Daphnia pulex: one gene and its partner. The protein of the gene in region 2 purifies or fractionates together with the protein of the main gene of each other region. This does not show direct contact. Links are inferred from orthologs where the notes say so. Each region holds a gene or a part of one and is shown on either strand. Other genes may lie near its edges.

Region 1 (3,760 bases), on a different chromosome or scaffold from region 2:
TAGTTTAGAAACAATCAAATATGTTTGCATAATACTTGGAATTATTTAACATTTACTTGCATTACCGAGATATAAGTTTGGTTTTGTTACTATCTTGACTGAGTGTTTCATTTGCAATAGGGTTTGTTAATGGGCCATCTATTCTATCAATGGAAGACGCTTCTGCAGATGATGGCTTATTCATGTGTCCAGCCAAAACATTTTTCATTTTATCAATCTACAAGTAATGTCAAATACATTTAAATTATAGTGAATCACATATTGCTTACACTTAACAATTATTTAATACCTCTCCAAGAAATTTCTGAGCAACTTCTTTGGAATCAAACAGAATTGCCCAGTTTTGCATGTGGTCATCATAAAATGTACAGAAGTTGTTTGGTTGACTCTGCAACAAAACAGTGGAGAAACATTATTTAAGTTTAAATAGTAGTGTAAATAATCCCCCCCATCCACAAAAAAAATTGTACTTACAATTATGGTAAATTCTGAGGTGACCCTTACACTTGCTAGTGGTTTCTGCTTATTTTGGTAAAGGATTATCTGATAAGTTTTATTACTTTCATTTTCTTCCAATAAGGCTAATCCTATTTTTCCAGGAAGTGGTTCATATTTTTCATTATTTCTGGAAATGATAAACAGGAGAATAAAATAAATTAATTCTTTGATTTGGCTTTCCTCCTTACAGTTTATAACATGTGACAGCAGCTGCAGCAATAACTGCTTGGGACATGCCCTTTGTGGTTGGAAGTGTACTACTTGGAGGTTGTTTAGGTGCCGTATAGATTAATGACTTTGAATTGGATTGGTGGATCCCCGAATCGTGAAATATTGATGCTAAATTAGAACTAAAATAGCGATTTAGTGTTATAATTTTTTATATCATGAACATCTATTCCTAATAGAAATGACTTAAGAATGATATTACTTAATTGAAATTGAGCCAAAGTCATCATCTTCTTCATTTGAAAAACCGAATGACATTTTCACAACATTGAGTAGAGTTGATAACGCTTCACGGCGGATATATATATTCTATTATCGTTTACTGAATGAAAATCAATAGATGGCGTTGAAAAGATTACAGACAAGATTACGATGGAATTTCCGAATAAATAAACAAAAAAAGCCATCTAGCGGCTAATATTTACTGGAAATAAATAAGAAGAGACATTGAAAAGCAACGTACTACCTACTAGGCCTACTTCATTTCTTTATATTTTCTATATTATATTTTCTTCCTTCAAATTGTGTGATTCTAAGGAATGGGTTCTCTTTAATCATGTTTTTTATAAGAAAACTTCGCGCTTTCACCACATAATCATGAATTCATAAGGAATTACTTGTACTGCACACACACTTCTTCTTGTTACTAATAGATGTCACCTTACAGAAAAAAGCCTGTGTAGAAATAAGGCCCTAGGAGAAAACGAGATCGACTTCGCACACATATTTGTTAGGGTGGCGAACAGAGGCTTGAAGAGGTAAGATTTATTGAATTTCAACTGTTATGTTTACGATTAATTGTATTCAATTTTGACTTGGAAAATATTCAACGAAACAGGAGGGGTCATAGTGTACACGGGTATGGTAATTTCGTCGATTCAGCAATTTTTTTAGTGAGAGTCTACATAAGAATGAGAATGGTGACTTGGGGAGAGTTTACATTACGTGTTCTGAAGGGAGAGGTGTGCACAGTTTGCACACGCTGAAGGCTAGACAGGGAGAGAGGGCGCGCATTGCAATCAGTAAACTGATGAGTAGAAATCATTGATTTTTGGATTTGTGAACTACATCAACGGCTTTGTTAAACGAATTACATCACGTTTTGACACAAATTTTCTCACCCATAGAAAAATGAGCAGCTCCGAAGAAGTTTCGTGGATCTCCTGGTTTTGTGGCCTACGTGGAAATGAATTCTTCTGTGAGGTAAGATAAAATTAAAATTAAATTTGATGTGATAGGTCAAAACATATTAGAGCACTTAATATTTCAATCAGTTGATCAGAAAGTGGTAGAATTTGACTGATGAAAATCACAGAATTTTCTTTGGATTTTGCTATAACAAGTGCATTTGATTCATTAAGACTTGGAAAGGAATAATTGTAATTTCAAATTTAAACAATTAATCTAAGCATATTTTGTAATTGCTCAACAGGTTGATGAAGATTATATCCAAGACAAGTTTAATTTAACTGGACTGAATGAACAAGTACCACACTATCGGCAGGCACTTGATATGATTTTGGACCTAGAGCCAGGTATAAATAACCAATTGAATTCTTTCATTCATATTCTTAGTGTAAATCATTTATCCAGTATTTTTCATTTAAGATGATGATGTTGAAGACAACCCCAATCAGTCTGATTTGATAGAACAAGCTGCTGAAATGCTTTATGGGTTGATTCATGCTAGATACATTTTAACAAATCGTGGAATTCTACAAATGCTTGAAAAGTATCATGCTGGAGATTTTGGTCATTGCCCAAGAGTATACTGTGAGAATCAACTGATGTTGCCAATTGGTAATATAAAAAAATATGATTTTATTTGTTATTACTATATATTTTACTATTTATTATATTTTTAACTTTCACTAGAAATTTATCTTTTATCTTGAAATATTTTTGGGTTCTCCTTCTCAGGCCTATCAGATGTTCCAGGGGAAGCTATGGTGAAGCTTTATTGTCCAAAATGTATGGACGTCTATACCCCTAAATCCTCCCGTCATCACCACACTGATGGAGCGTACTTTGGGACAGGATTCCCCCACATGCTCTTCATGGTTCACCCTGAATATAGACCGAAAAAACCAACCAATCAATTTGTCCCACGACTTTATGGCTTTAAAATTCATCCGTTGGCCTATCAGATCCAACAACAGGGCGCTTCTAATTTTAAAGTTCCGATGCGTACTGTAAGCTACAACAACGGGAGAAAATGAAACTGAATCTGCTTATTCGCCACTTATTCATTCAATGTTACCATTTAGCATAGGCGACGTTCAGAAATTATGTACTGCGATTTTTGGCTTATTTTTTTTACCCCCTCCTCCCCCTCTTGTCAGATTGTCACAAAAGCCCCAACTCTAACAAAAACGTAACGTTTGCCGACCCCCATCCCCTATTTTCTGGAACTTAATAAAAAACTGAATGAAAATTGAATTAAAGTTGGTGCCTACATTTGGTTCCATTAGTTAAGCGCTTAATTGATTGGTGTTTCTCGTATCAGCCTATTCCTTCATTTGTGCTGTTCGTTTTTATGGTGAAAAGGTCGCAACACAAGCTGAAGAGATATTATGTCATGGTGCGTCAAGAGTGTCTCAACCCGGAATCCCATTCGTTTCTCGAAACCCATCTATTTCTTTATGTTCCGTACTACGAATCTACTGCATAACTTTTGAACGTCGCCATAGCAACTCAATACCCTTTTGATTGGTTACATGATTAACCCGAGCTGTACAACAAATTTGATGGAAACAAAAGATAATGAATTTTTTTCTTGATATGTTATGTACTTTATTTGTCAGATATTTAGTTATCTTAACACTTATGCTTCAAATCTACGTCAGGAAAAAGACGTAGGATGTTATTATAACCGTACAATGTTATAGAAAAAAAAGGCCCAAAAACCTAATAAGCTTGTTAGCTCCAGTGTATAGGAAATTCACTACGCGGTGTTAAGTTACTTGGAATTCTATTAAGTTTATTTTACTTTTTTGTTTGATGAGATTTGTCAGATGAATAGACCTTTTTCACA
Region 2 (3,760 bases):
TTGCGTGTTTTATAACGAAGCGCTGTGCTTTTTGATCCATTCGATTGCTACTTCCGGCTGTAGGATGAAAAGAAAATTAAGTAATTTCAACTTTTAACACATTCAAAGGTTTTAAATTCGTAAGTAGTACCGTTGCGAAATAAAATGTTCCGGGCCGAAATACTTGACGTCCTATAAAACTCATAGCACTCTCAGGAAATATCACGTGTAGGTGCAGATGTTTAATAGAATTAAAAGGAGGCCAATGAAATCCCATTCTACAATTTAGTTGAAATCATTACTACCAATTTTTTATGAGGGTAAGAATCCATATGATACCTGCAATCACTCAAGTCTCCTCCATGATTCTTCACAAGTTGCTGTCCTACAGCTACCATTTCTTCAACTAATAAAAAAATATTGATAAGTTTATTTGAATTGATAATCAGGCAATTTACCCATGCTGACTGTTTCTATGGTAAGACTTTTAATATCATTGATGTGATCTCTAGGAATGACTAGAAGGTGGTTTTTAGCAGATGGTTTGATGTCATTAAAAGCCAAATATTTTACATCCTATTTATGAAAGGAAATACAGCATTAGGAAATGTATATCTTTATCTTATTAAGTACCTTATTTTAATATATCTAAGCCATTTCTTACTGTGATTTTCAGGTAATAGCTAGTCTACATTAGATTAATTGATTCCCTGGAAGAAAATAAACCTATTTGCTACAAAACGCATAATTTAATTGGTCAAAAATGAGAGAGGAAGAGCCTTAACCTGATGAACGATAGTTGCTGGCGCCAGACCTTCACAAATCTGGCAAAAAATGCATTTGATGGACTTTTGTACTGAAACCATTTTTAGGGAATTGTACTGTTTGTTTGTTTGTTTGTTTTTTTTTGAAGATAGGTGCACTGGCCGATTGTACTGTTTAGTTCAGTCATACGTAAAAATATTGACACTGACTGAGGGAATGGACTTTTCGCGTAGTCTGCAATTCTGTAAGGATGCCAAATTCCGAAAAGCAACAAGTTGTTTGTCATGATTTCGAATTCGAAGTATTCACTTAGATTCATGCAGTAGGACATAAATATCCTGTAGCATAAAAATCTTAAAAAAAATAAAAAAATATGCATATTTCCAGAGCTATAGAATCCCTGGTCGGTTCTCGGCTGTGTTGGCTTCCCTATCCCGGTTTCAGGGTAAACGTGGTCCGATTTGGAAACTGGAATGAGCGCTCTAGTGAGTGTGTCAGCTACTACGCTCAGCTACTTTTGAGAGCCTAGATGGCTCTGTTTCTAGTTTCCAATGACAGGCCCCGCCCTAAAACCCCCTGAAAATCGGACCACGTTTACCCTAAAATCGAGATGGGGAAGCCAACACGGCCGAGAACCGACCAGGTATCTATTGCTCTGATATTTCTGAAAAATCAATGGATAATATTATTATTAAAATCATAGTTGGCAACGCCCAGGTCTTTATGAACTTCATTCTGCTTTTTAGAGGGAAAAGCATGGGTTGCGTTGGGTAAACGGTCTGGCAGTTTTTTGTAACGAACCTCAGTACAATTTCGCCATTCCAGATTCGTAGTTTCAAGTTGAAATATTGCAGTTTCCCATTCGACTTGGATGATCCCATTTGTTACTGAAAATGGGAAGTCTCGCTGCAGATAGAGAGGTGTTCTTTCGAAGGATAAAGCGATTCTATTCGTCTTGGAAGGTAAGTTGGCGTCAAACAACCATGACAGTTGGATTTCATTTCATGCAATGATATAATATCTTATAGAATGAAGACTCTGAACTTGGGTTTGCTGATATGGATGCATTGGTCACAGCTTTGGGGGCGGATGAGGAAGTTGTGTACAGCAAAACATCTGCTTTACAATCATGGCTTCTTGGATATGAATTGACTGATACAGTTATGGCTCTGTGTGAAGATTCCATCTATTTCCTTGCAAGTAAGAAGAAGATAGATTTCTTACGCCCGCTGGAGGCAATTAAAGAAGAGAAAGGCTTGCCCGCTGTTAAGCTGTTGATTCGTGACAAAGTAAATCATGATACATATTTTCCATGTTAGAAACATGGAACTTCAACAAAGAAATTTTTCTATTTTTTTAGAGCGACAAAGATAAAGCCAATTTTGTGAAACTTATTGAAGCATTGAAAAAATCTAAAAAAGGAAAAAAGCTTGGAGTGTTCTCAAAAGACAGTTTTCATGGAGAGTTCATGGATGCATGGAACAATGCCATCAAGAAAGAAAAATTTGAGTAAGAAACATTAGAAAGTGTTATTAGAAATATATAGATAACAATGTGTGAAATCATATTTTCAGGACAGTTGATGTTAGTTCTGGGGCAGCTTATATGATGGCTCCTAAAGAAGAATCTGAACTGAATGTGATCAAGAAAGCATGTCAAGTATCTGTTGATTTATTCAACAAATATTTAAAAGAACAGGTTATGGAAATTGTAGATGCAGATAAAAAGGTTTGAAAAATTTATTATTTTTTTTTCAATGGGACTTAATTTGAATTTATTTGTCAAGGTCAAACATTCAAAATTAGCCGAAGGAGTGGAGAACGCAGCCACTGACAAGAAATATGTTTCTGGTGTCGATACGGGTCAAGTTGATATGTGTTATCCAGCCATAATTCAAAGTGGAGGGAATTACAGCCTGAAATTTAGTGCAGTGAGGTACATCTATCAATTAGCAAACTTTATGTGAATACATTAATGCTTCTTTTTATTTCACAGTGATGATAAACCCCTTCATTTTGGAGCAATTGTTTGTCTTTTAGGAGCACGTTACAAATCTTACTGCTCCAATATTGGTCGAACCCTTCTTGTCAACCCCACTGAAAAGATGCAGGTAAAGAAAAAGATATTTCCATAAATGAGTCTAGATTACATTCTTATGAACTTGTAGGAGACATACAACTTCTTGTTATCGGTTGAAGACGAAATTTTGAAATCTCTCGTCGAAGGAGCAAAGTTTAGCGATGTTTATAATGCTGCTGAGGCATACGTAAAGAAAGAAAAACCAGCCCTTCTTGACAAGATGACAAAAACCCTTGGCTTTGTTACCGGAATTGAATTTCGAGAAAGCTCTTTGGTGATCGGCCCGAAGAATAACGCAGTTGTCAAAAAAGGAATGGTCTTCAATGTCAATCTTGGATTTGCTGACTTGGAAAATTCTGATGGCACCGATGATCGCTATAAGAAATATGTATTTATATAAATTAATAATATTTATTTATTTATTTGTTTATTTAAATATATATTATTTTATTTTTAAAATATTAGGCTTTGTTTTTGAGCGACACTGTTATTGTATCCGATGTAAGTTATAATTTTGAACTTTTTCTTCTACTTGTTTTTTTGACGAGTAACATTATTTTTAGGGTCCAGCTACTATACTTACTGCTTCGAAAAAAAGGATTAAGAATATCGGTATATTCCTTAAAGATGAATCTGGAGAGGAAGAAGAGGAGGAGGAAGAGGACGAAGAAAAGCCATCACGACAGCCCCAGAATTTAGGTCGAGGCAAGCGGACCGCTATTCTTGATTCTAAACTTCGGGTACATAGTACTTTTCTTCTTATCATTTTCCATTGTTATAATTTATAATTTGTGTTTCTTTCAGGAAACATCTACCGAAGAAAAACGTAAGCAACATCAAAAAGAATTGGCTTCTCATCTAAATGAAGAAGCCAAACTTCGGCTTGCTCAGCAGAAGGTAAAGAAGACAAAAAGAAAATAAATGTGCAAAAGAATAA

What was found. Proteins that work in one complex are often made in the same cells at the same time.
Region 1: the proteins of FACT complex subunit spt16-like (region 2) and casein kinase II subunit beta fractionate together in Homo sapiens (co-fractionation; 4 studies listed by BioGRID and IntAct, with this or other methods). This does not show direct contact. The link is inferred for Daphnia pulex from reciprocal best matches to the Homo sapiens genes SUPT16H and CSNK2B.

What each region holds. Positions count from the first base shown.
Region 1 is NC_060025.1:6,073,269-6,077,028, reverse strand, and holds casein kinase II subunit beta, read left to right. Parts: upstream 1-1,344; 5' UTR 1,345-1,484; intron 1,485-1,515; exon of another isoform or gene 1,516-1,585; intron 1,586-1,853; 5' UTR 1,854-1,857; coding exon 1,858-1,929; intron 1,930-2,158; coding exon 2,159-2,261; intron 2,262-2,334; coding exon 2,335-2,526; intron 2,527-2,646; coding exon 2,647-2,945; 3' UTR 2,946-3,506; downstream 3,507-3,760. Other genes in the region: FK506-binding protein 15-like, read right to left, coding at 66-217, 290-388, 475-625, 687-848, 929-984. UniProt on the Homo sapiens protein: Regulatory subunit of casein kinase II/CK2.
Region 2 is NC_060017.1:5,830,485-5,834,244, forward strand, and holds the start of FACT complex subunit spt16-like, read left to right. Parts: upstream 1-1,379; 5' UTR 1,380-1,637; coding exon 1,638-1,706; intron 1,707-1,772; coding exon 1,773-2,033; intron 2,034-2,104; coding exon 2,105-2,253; intron 2,254-2,318; coding exon 2,319-2,472; intron 2,473-2,530; coding exon 2,531-2,679; intron 2,680-2,739; coding exon 2,740-2,854; intron 2,855-2,911; coding exon 2,912-3,211; intron 3,212-3,288; coding exon 3,289-3,324; intron 3,325-3,386; coding exon 3,387-3,563; intron 3,564-3,627; coding exon 3,628-3,720; intron 3,721-3,760. Other genes in the region: adenosine 5'-monophosphoramidase HINT3-like, read right to left, coding at 10-57, 131-257, 319-385, 438-555, 765-845. UniProt on the Homo sapiens protein: Component of the FACT complex, a general chromatin factor that acts to reorganize nucleosomes. The FACT complex is involved in multiple processes that require DNA as a template such as mRNA elongation, DNA replication and DNA repair.